Callithrix jacchus: one gene and its partner. The protein of the gene in region 2 purifies or fractionates together with the protein of the main gene of each other region. This does not show direct contact. Links are inferred from orthologs where the notes say so. Each region holds a gene or a part of one and is shown on either strand. Other genes may lie near its edges.

Region 1 (5,430 bases), on a different chromosome or scaffold from region 2:
GAGGCCAAGGCAGCAGATCACCTCAGGTCAGGAGTTCAAGACCAGCCTGGTCAACATGACAAAACCCCATCTCTACTAAAAATAAAAAAATTAGCTGGGCGTGGTGGCAGGTGCCTGTAATCCCAGCTATTTGGGAGGCTGAGGAACAAGAACCACTTCAACCCAGGAAGCAGAGGTTGCAGTGAGCTGAGATCACGCCACTGCACTCCAGCCTGGGCAACAGGCAAGAATCTCAAAAAAAAAAAAAAAAAGAGCTAAGATGTTTAACAAGTAGAAGCAGAAAGGACACCTGCCAATCAAACCACTGATGTGTACTGGCTGATCTCTCAGCCCTGGTGGGTGAGAGACGTTATCCCCATTTTACAGATGAGGAAACTAAGGTTCCAGGAGGTTAACAGGACCCTGATCCCAGGGTGGCTGGAAGGAATAGGAGACAAAAAAAGTAGAGCCCCAAATAGTGCCTGGTGCACACAGAAAGTGCTAAATAGTCACTATTGCTACCGCTCTTCATTTTTCCAAGTGGCAGTAAGAAGGGTTTGGCTTGCCTGGGCCATGGCCCTAGGGTGGCTCTCTGCAGCTGGCCCTGATTCTTCCTCTCACACAATTTTGCTTCCTGTTGTGATGGCTAATACTGAGTGTCAACTGGATTGGACTGAAGGATACAAAGTATGAATCCTGGGTGTGTCTGTGTGGGTGGTGCCAAAGGAAATTAACATTTGAGTCAGTGGGCTGAGAAAGGCAGGCCCACCCTTAATCTGCTGGGCACAATCTAATCAGCTGCCCTCAAATATAAAGCAGGCAGAAAAAAACGTGAAAGGTGAGGCAGGCCTAGCCCCCACAGCCCGCATCTTTCTCCTGTGCTGGATGCTCCCTGCCCTCAAACATCGGACTCCAAGATCTTCAGTTTTTTTGTTTTTTTGTTTTTTGACAGAGTTTCGCTCTTTTTACCCAGGCTGGAGTACAATGGCGCGATCTCGGCTCACTGCAACCTCCGCCTCCTGGGTTCAGGCAATTCTCCTGCCTCAGCTTCCTGAGAAGCTGGGATTACAGGCACGTGCCACCATGCCCAGCTAATTTTTTGTATTTTTGGTAGAGACGGGGTTTCACCATGTTGACCAGGATGGTCTCGATCTCTTGACCTCGTGATCCACCCACCTCGGCCACCCAAAGTGCTGGGATAACAGGCGTGAGCCACCGCGCCTGGCCAGATCTTCAGTTTTGAGAGTCAGAAGGGCTCTCCTTGCTCCTCAAGCTTGCAGACAGCCAATTGTGGAACCTTGTGATCCTGTAAGTTAATACTTAAAATACTCCCCTTAGCCAGGAATGATGGCTCATACCTATAATCCCAGCACTTTGGGAGGCTGAGGCAGGCGGATCACCTGAGGTCGGGAGTTCAAGACCAGCTAACCAACATGGAGAAACTCCATCTCTACCAAAAATACAAAAAAAAAAAAAAAAAAAAAAAAAAAAACATAGCCGGGCATGGTGGTGCACACCTGTAATCCCAGCTACTCGGGAGGCAGGAAAATCACTTGAATCCAGGAGGCGGAGGTTGCAGTGAGCAAGATGATGCCATTACACTCCAGCCTGGGCAACAAGAGTGAAACTCCGTCTCAAAAAATAAATAAATAAATAAATAAATAACTCTTCTTTGTGTGTGTGTGTGCGTATATCCATAACCTATTAGTTCTGTCTCTCTAGAGAACCCCAGTCCACCCACCCATCTCCTTGTGCTCCAGGAAGAAAATAAGACAGTCTCCACTCTGCACCCATAGCTCGTAACACTAACTAGCCGCCGGGTGAGAGTCCTCCCACAGGCCCCGCTTACAGTACTCGATGCCTTTGATCAGATCTTGGAAGTAGAAACGGGCCTGGTCTTCAGAAAGAGGTTTGAGAGTGGGCACTTCCATCACGGGCCTGCAAGGTCGATACACGCATGAAGCACAAACCAGATCCACCCAGCCCTTGCCCTCTCTCACCAGCAGAGCCTGGTGGCACCTCACTCAGCTACGCAGCTGGTGAAGCTTCTGGCATCACCCGTGCCGGGAGCTGGGACACTCACCCTTGGTTGACCAGTTCGAACACTATAAGGAAGAAAAGGGAGTGAACTGTTACATGGGAAAATGAACATCCATCTCTCTGTCCTCCCCACCTCCCAACCACCTCCAGGAACACCGAGAAAGACAGAAACTAATATTAGAGCTGGGGAGAAGTACAGTCCACTGAACCAAGCTGGCCAAGGTCCTGCTTTGCTAAATTTCCAACAGAAGGCAAAGGACCAGGGATTTCTGACGTCCCTAGCTCCAGTCTGGCTTGACTTCTGGCGCTCAAATTGGCCCAGGATCCACTAATCAAAGAAAACAAGGCAGGAGCTGGGCAAGGTGGCTCACGCCAGCGTAATCTCAGCACTTTGGGAGCCAATGCGGGCAGATCACCTGAGGTCAGAGGTTCAAGACCAGCCTGGCAAACATGGCACAACCTCGTCTCTACTAAAAACATAAAAACCAGTCAGGCATGGTGGCAGGTGCCTGTAGTCCCAGCTACCTGGGAGGCTGAGGCATAAGAATCACTTGAAACTGGGCGGCAGAGGTTGCAGTGAGCCGAGATCACAGCACTGCACTCAAGCCTGGGCAACAGAGCAAGATTCTGTCTCAAAAAAAAATTGAGATTGAAATTTACATCACATAAAACTATCCATTTTAAAAGTATGTAATTGAGTGGCGTTTAGTGTATTCACAATATTATGCGATCATCACTAGTTCCAGAACATTCTCATCACCTCAAAAGGAAACCTTGTCCCCTCAGCAGTCGTCATTCCCCATTCTTCCCTCCCTCAAGCACCTGGCCACTTCTAATCTGCTTTCTGTCTCTGTAGATCTGCCTGTTCTGGACATGTCACGTAAATAGACTTGAACACTATGTGGCCTTTTGTGTCTGGCTGCTTTCACTTAGCATCATGTTTTTCAGGTTCATCCACACTGGAGCCTGGATCAGTGCTTCATTCCTTTTCATGGCTGAATAATATTCCATTGTCTGGGTAGACCACATTTTCTTCGTCCATTCATCTGTTGAGGGCATACGGTCTGTTTCTATTTTTTGGCTGTCGTGAATAGTGCTGCAGTGAACATTCGCGTACACGCATTTGTGTGGATATCTGTTTTCGGTTCTTTTGGGTATATACCTAGGAGTGGGCTTGCTGGGCCACATGGTATAGTTAATTTGATTCTGCCACGACAAGCATAACTGGGAATACAAGGCTGTACTTTAGGAAGTAAAAAAAAAGAGCACAGTAGATTTCAAAATCCAGTGAATGACTTCGGGGTTGCTTATTGTTCTTGAGTCATATGCTCAGAATGAGATGAGCATGTAACAGAAACCAAAGGGGATACCCCATTTTCCGTGATGTAAGAATGCACTGCATGTCAGTATCAAAACACCTCATGTACCCTATAACTATATCCACCTACCATGTCCCCATAAAAATTTTTTTTAAAAACTTTTTTTTGAGATGGAGTCTTGCTCTGTTGCCCAGGCTGGAGTGCAGTGGCACGATCTTGGCTCACTGCAACCTCTGCCTCCTGGGTTCAAGCAATTCTCCTGCCTCAGCCTCCCAAGTAGCTGGGACTACAGGTGCCCACCACACCTGCCTAATTTTCATATTTTTAGTAGAGACAGGGTTTCACCATATTGGTCAGCCTGGTCTCAAATTCCTGACCTCAGGTGATCCACCCATCTTGGCCTCCCAAAGTGCTGGGATTACAGGCAATTTTTTTTTTTTTAATGAAACCAAAGGGTTGTTTCAAAGTTCTCCAAGGCCTGAGAAGGCCAAGGGGAGCGGAGAAGCTACTCAGACAAAAAAGAAGACTTAAAGATTCTGATCAGGAAAGAACTGAACTCTCCCAGACCTTCCCTGTCTTCACAGCACCAACCAATGTGAGTTAGGGCAGGTGCCATTGCCTCGGGCTGTAGTTAAAAGCAAAGGTAATGCTAAGGTACAGCTTCGCCGGATAACCCAGCGCTAGCCCCCTCAGTTTTGGCCTTTCCTGCTATTTAAGTCTTAACTTGCAAGCTTCATGAATATCTGCACCATCCTCCCACCCACCCAAGCACCATGAATCAGGTGGCATGAGGGAGGGTGGCCTGTTGAAACAGGTCTATTTTCAGTCACTGACAGTTCAACCACTTTTGGGGCTGAGCAGTGGGTGGGAATTTTTTAACCTCCAGAAATAGAGACTGAGTTTTCTCCTTTTTTTTTTTTTTTTTTTTTTTAAGACAGAGTCTTCTCTGTTGTCCAGGCTGGAGTGCAATTGCGTGATCTCGACTCACTGCAACCTCCACTTCCCAGGTTCAAGCGATTCTCCTGCTTCAGCCTCCCAGGTAGCTGGGATTACAGGCATGTGCCACCACACCTGGCTAACTATGTATTTTTAGTATAGATGGAGTTTCACCATGTTGGTCAGGCTGGTCTTGAACTCCTGACCTCAGATGATCCTTCTGCCTTGGCCTCCCAAAGTGCTGGGATTACAGGCATGAACCACCATGCCCAGCCCACCCCGTTTTTTTTTTTCAATTGAGACAGGGTCTTGCTCTGTCACCCAGGCTGGAGTGCAGTGGCACAATCGTAGCTCACTACAGCCTCAAACTCCTGGCCTCAAGTGATCCTCCCAACTCAGCCTCCCAAAGTGCTGGGGTTACAGGCATGAGCCACCGCACCTGGGCTGAGTTTTCTGCCCTTTGCATGTCAGGCCTATGGCTGCAGAGCCTTCCTGACACCTACTACCTGGCCTTGTGCACTGCCCTGTCTGTCTCAGGCTCACACCACTGTGGCTGGAAAGTAAAATATAACCATGTCAGGATTTTCAAAACCACTGGAATCGCATATCCCAAATTAGCATGGCTCCTTTCTGCGACTGCCACCTTGAGTAGTGAAAAACTGTCTCTGCAGCTGCCCTGCTCAAGCAGATCAGGAAACTCCTCTTAGAGGCTTGGACCATGTTCTTCTTATCCTCATTCCACCCCTCAGCTCAATCCCCGCCAATGGCTTCCATCACCCTCAAAATCAAAGCCAAATTTTTAATTTTTTTTTTGAGGCAGTCTCACGTTGTTGCCCAGGCTGGAATGCAGTGGCACCATCTCAGCTCACTGCAACCTCCACCTCCCAGGTTCAAATGATTCTCGTGCCTCAGACTCCAAGTAGCTGAGATTATGGGTGCATGCCACCACACCTAGCTAATTTTTGTATTTTTAGTGGAGACGCGGTTTCGCCATGCTGCCCAGGCTGGTCTCAAACTCCTGAGCTCAGGTGATCCACCGGCCTCGGCCTCCCAAAGTGCTGGGTTTACAGATGTGAGTCACCGCGCCCGACCCAAGTTCTTTACAATGTTATAAAATACCCTCTGCCACCTGGTCCCTACTGTTCTGCCCAAATGT
Region 2 (4,455 bases):
TGTCCGGTGGAAAGATGATGGTGGGTGGCCTAGGTGAGTCACCTATGGCTGAGGATTGGGAGAGCGATGACAGCTGGGAAGGGGGTAACTGGAAACCTAGGAATCTTCCATAAAGACCTATGGAAGAACAGAGCAACAGCGGGAAGTCCCCTCCAAGAGGTAGGAGACCAGGAAAGGAAGTGACGGGGTGGGAGTAAGGGTTTATGGACAAGAGGAATCTGGAAGCCTGCAGCCCTAGGTGGGAAGAGAGAGGGAGGGCTCAGGGGAAATAAGGCGCACACTCCTCTGAGCTCCTTCTCTGCCCATCCCACCACAGTGGTCATCAGTCGGCAGCGCCGACGTGTGCAACTGATGCGGATTCGGCAGCAGGAAGATCGCAAGGAGAAAAGGCGGAAAAAGAGACCTCCTCGGGCTCCCCCCAGAGGTCCCCGGGCTCCTCCCAGGCCTGGGCCCCCAGACCCTGCTTATCGGCGCAGGCCAGTGCCCATCAAACGCTTCAATGGAGACGTCCTCTCCCCGGTGAGCTCCCTGAGCCCATCCAGCCAGAATGGGGAGAAAAAAGTGTGGAAACTATCCAAACAGTACTGGGCTTTCCCCATGGGCTGGTTTCTATCTAGAAGGCCTACTCTCTGTGTGTCACAGCCCATGCACCAGGGGCTTGGCAGGTCCAGCTGGTGGGGGGTTTGGGGGAACTGTACCCTGAGTATGGGTTTTAAGTGGGTTATGGTATGTGGTGGGGTCTCAAGACTGTGGACTCTGAGTCTGTGGCAGTCTGTAGGGGTGTCAGGCTTGTGGGGATTCAGGAAGAGGGGGCTTTTAGGGCAGGATTCTGCAGTGGGACTCTCACACCTATGTTTGCTCCCCCACAGAGTTATATCCAGAGCTTCCGAGACCGGCAGACCGGGAGCTCCCTGAGCTCCTTCATGGCCTCACCCACAGATGCGGACTATGAGTATGGGTCCCGGGGACCTCTGACAGCCTGCTCAGGCCCCCCAGTGCGGGTATAGCCATATCTCTGCCTGTCTAGACTCTGCAGTCACCAGCTCTGCCAGCTCGTGGAGGCCTGCCAGGCTGTCACCCAGGCCCCTGGCTTTGGCTGTCCCTCTCCCCAGCCTGGAGAGGGCTGGCCTGATCATTAGAAGGGAGGTTGTCTCAGGCGAGGCTTGGCCTAAGAGGAAAGGCCCCTCCCAAGCTCCCAAGGGGCTCCTGAGGAACTCGGGGTGTGAACCCCATTGGGGTGTGCTCAGGGTTGTAAGTGTGTTGCCCGTGTGTGTGTATGTGTGTGTGGGGGGGCAGGCTTGGAGGGGACACTGTGACCCTTGCCTTAGATTTCTGACTGGTAGGGTTTCTCCAGGCCGGGTCCCACCTCCTCCCCGCCCCGCCGGAGTCCCATGGGCCACCTCCTGCATGTCTCCGCGGAGGGGCTGCCTTCCTCCCCATCACCCTGCCTCCCAGCCAGACTCATCTAAGGGTTCTTGTCCTTGTCTGTGGGGCAAACTGTAGCACCCCTCACCCTGGTCCCCTGGCCTCTACAAAGCCACCAGCCTGAGGGCAGTGGCAGGAGATGGGGGTGGGGGGTGCTGCTCTGGGCCAGGCTGGGTTGGGAAGGGAGTTGGGGAGGGGCTTAAATGCACGGTGCATGTCTGGTGTCTGTCATGCCAACCTGGACACCTCATGCTTCTGTCTCCCCCATCCCACTTTGTTTTACATCTTTTATAAATGTGCCAAACTGCGTGGCCTCTGCCAGGAATAGTGGTCTTTGGTGGCTGGCACTTTCATGGGCCAGGTATAAGCACTACAGCCCTCAGTCCCCAGTGTCATTCACTGCACAGGGGCGACAGGCAATGTCTGCCCTCCCACATCACTCAGAGAGCCAAGGGAATGAGCTGTAGCACTTTTATTGTTTCCTGACATCTCTGGTCTCCCTGTTTCTCCACCCCTGCCCAGGGTAGGGGCACACGCCTTCCAAGCTGTCCAAGGGCACCTGCCTGGCCTGGTTCGGTACTCCTAGTTACCTGCAGAGGAATGACTCCACGTGGGGCTGGGGAGAGAGTGGGTACCACCTTCCTCTCCCCAGGCAGAGCCTGGACACCAGCACAGGAAGATCTGGGCCCACAGGCTCTATCCTACCCTTTCTGGGCCTCTGTCAGGGCTGTCTTGGAAGGTGGGGGTCAGCTAGGGGTGGGACACAGCTCAGCATCTGGAGGGAATGCTGGGATTTGGGATAGAAGGTGGGATGTCTCTTCGTGTGAGACATGTGTAAGAGGAAAGAAAGAGGCCTCTGCCAAGGCTGACATGGAACTCACTGCGATGGGCAGGAGGGAGGAGGGACAGGCTGGAGGCAGGCAGTGTTAGGGAGGTACAGAGGAGAGGAACTGGTAGAAATGGGGCTGTTCAAGAGAGAGAAACATGGTCCAGTGGCAAGAGAGAGAAGCCTGGCAGGAAGGGGTATAGAAAGGTGGGAACAGCTGACTAGGAGCAGCTGATCTGAGTCAAGCAGTTCCAGCCCTGGGTGTGCTCTATCCCTCCCCTCCCCCACCCCCACCTCCAACACATTTCAGGACCTGCCGCCACCACAGTCCTAGAAAGCCTCCCATAGGTGTGGCTTAGCCCATCGGTTCCCAGGTGCCCTCGCCCTCTTGCCTCTTCCCAGTCGGCTTTACTCACCCTCTACCAGCAGCCGTGTGTGGGCGCTGTCCTGGCCGGCCTGGCAGCAGTAGGTGCCCTGGTCCTCAGGTCGAACGTCACGGATGACCAGGCTGTGGGTGGGGCCGTGGCTGCGCATCTCATACTTATCTCCCGGGCACAGCTGGGCCCCCTCCCGCAACCAGAACACGTGGCCCCCCGAGCGCGACACAGTCACTTCCAGCACGGCCCGGCGGCCCACCAGAATGGTCTTCTCGCGAGGGGGGCGGCGGCACATCTGGAGAGGCAATGCTGAGGGTAGGGGGCGGGAGCTTAAGTTAATAGGGACACACATGGCCCCCAGGAGAAGAGACGCATCTTCCCTCCCTGCAGCCTCCACTCAGGGCCTTAGCCCTCTATGCCACCGGTCCGTTCCCTTGCACCTCAAATCCAAAGTCTCCTCTTCCCAGGGAAACGCGGTGCCCTCTGTGACCCGGCCCAGGAGAGCCCTTCGCGGGAAGGGGAAGAGGAAGGCATCGTTCCCGGGGCCACCCCCGGTCCGTCAGTCCCCTGGCAGGAGAGGAGAGGATGTTCTTTCCCTGTCGCTCCCGCCCCTGGTGCTTACCCTCCACTTCCAGTAGAGCCAAGGACTGGGCGGGCCCCGCCTGGAAGCGGACTTCACCGGCGTCCTCGGGGCGCAGCTCGCTCAGCACCAGAATGTGTTTCTTCCCTGGGGGTGACGGGGTCGCTAGCGAGGCCGGAGCCACCTCAGAGGAGCGCTGGGGACGCGGGTGGGGCCGCAGCAGGCCCCTGGGTCGGTTCGGACGCCGTTAGTGTACGCTAAGGTGGGCGGAACCGGAGAGCGGGGCGGGTAGAGGAGCGGTCCGGGACTCGGGGCTGGGGGCGGAGGAGAGACCCGGGACGCGGCTCTGGGGCCTTGAGGCGGGGCCTGTCCGAGCCGGAGGTGGGGCTTGTCCCGCGGGGCGGGGTCTGTCCGAGCCTGGGCGGGGCAGCGAGGGGCCCGAAAGGGTAGCCTGGCGGCCAGACCTTCTTGTCGGATGCGGACGCGGGCTCCGGGTCTCAGCAGGCGGCCTCCGAGCTCCCAGCGCCCCGTGGTCTCGGCCTCCGACACGGTGCACTCGAACGTAGCGCCGTCGCCTTCGCGGGCACTCACCGACAGCAGCTCGGAGAGCACCTCCACAGTGCGGTCTGGGGCGGACCCGGGGCGTGAGCGGGGCGGGGCGGAGGGCAGGTGCTGGCCACGCCCCCACGCCCCCTTTTTAGAAGCACGCGCGGTCAGCAGGGTCGCGGGAAGATTGCTCCGCAGGTCTCGCGCCCAAAGCAGTGCCCAGTCCCCGCATCACCCCATACCCACCGTGCACGATCAGGCGGACCGGCCCGGCGCGGGCCGTCCCCACCGCGCAGCTATAGGTCCCGGCGTCCGAGGGGCCGCAGCGCCGCAGCTGTAGAAGGCGGCGCGTGCCCAGGGCCTGGAGCCGGAGCCGCGGGCTTGGAGTGAGCGCGCGCCCGTCCTAGGGGCGGGAGTTGCAGAGGGTCGGGGAGGGCACGGCTGGGCGCGGCCGGCAGCACCGTCTGTTGATGCCAAGGGGTCTCGAGACGAGTTTATGTGTATCTCGTGTTCCCAAGCTGGGATCGGGCTGTCCCACGCCTTCGGGGCCGTGCCAGGAACCTCTTTGAGAAGGTGTCACCCTTTGGGGACCTTAGGGCCGCCAAGGTGCACGGAAAGCCCAGAGCCAGGTATCAGTCACAGGGGTACATGGTCACGGATTCTGGAATTAGGCAAACCTGGATTCAAATATGGGCACTACC

The links.
Region 1: the proteins of OBSL1 (region 2) and CAMKK2 purify together in Homo sapiens (affinity purification with mass spectrometry; 4 studies listed by BioGRID and IntAct, with this or other methods). This does not show direct contact. The link is inferred for Callithrix jacchus from reciprocal best matches to the Homo sapiens genes OBSL1 and CAMKK2.

Annotation. Positions count from the first base shown.
Region 1 is NC_133510.1:124,467,404-124,472,833, forward strand, and holds part of CAMKK2 (calcium/calmodulin-dependent protein kinase kinase 2), read right to left. Parts: intron 2,085-5,430; coding exon 2,063-2,084; intron 1,918-2,062; coding exon 1,829-1,917; intron 1-1,828. UniProt on the Homo sapiens protein: Calcium/calmodulin-dependent protein kinase belonging to a proposed calcium-triggered signaling cascade involved in a number of cellular processes. Isoform 1, isoform 2 and isoform 3 phosphorylate CAMK1 and CAMK4. Isoform 3 phosphorylates CAMK1D.
Region 2 is NC_133507.1:141,291,320-141,295,774, forward strand, and holds the end of OBSL1 (obscurin-like protein 1), read right to left. Parts: intron 4,158-4,455; coding exon 4,001-4,157; intron 3,835-4,000; coding exon 3,673-3,834; intron 3,356-3,672; coding exon 3,251-3,355; intron 2,938-3,250; coding exon 2,668-2,937; intron 2,436-2,667; coding exon of another isoform or gene 2,395-2,435; exon of another isoform or gene 2,391-2,394; coding exon 2,194-2,390; 3' UTR 2,016-2,193; coding exon of another isoform or gene 2,008-2,015; 3' UTR 1,883-2,007; downstream 1-1,882. Other genes in the region: TMEM198 (transmembrane protein 198), read left to right, coding at 317-519, 870-1,007. UniProt on the Homo sapiens protein: Core component of the 3M complex, a complex required to regulate microtubule dynamics and genome integrity. It is unclear how the 3M complex regulates microtubules, it could act by controlling the level of a microtubule stabilizer.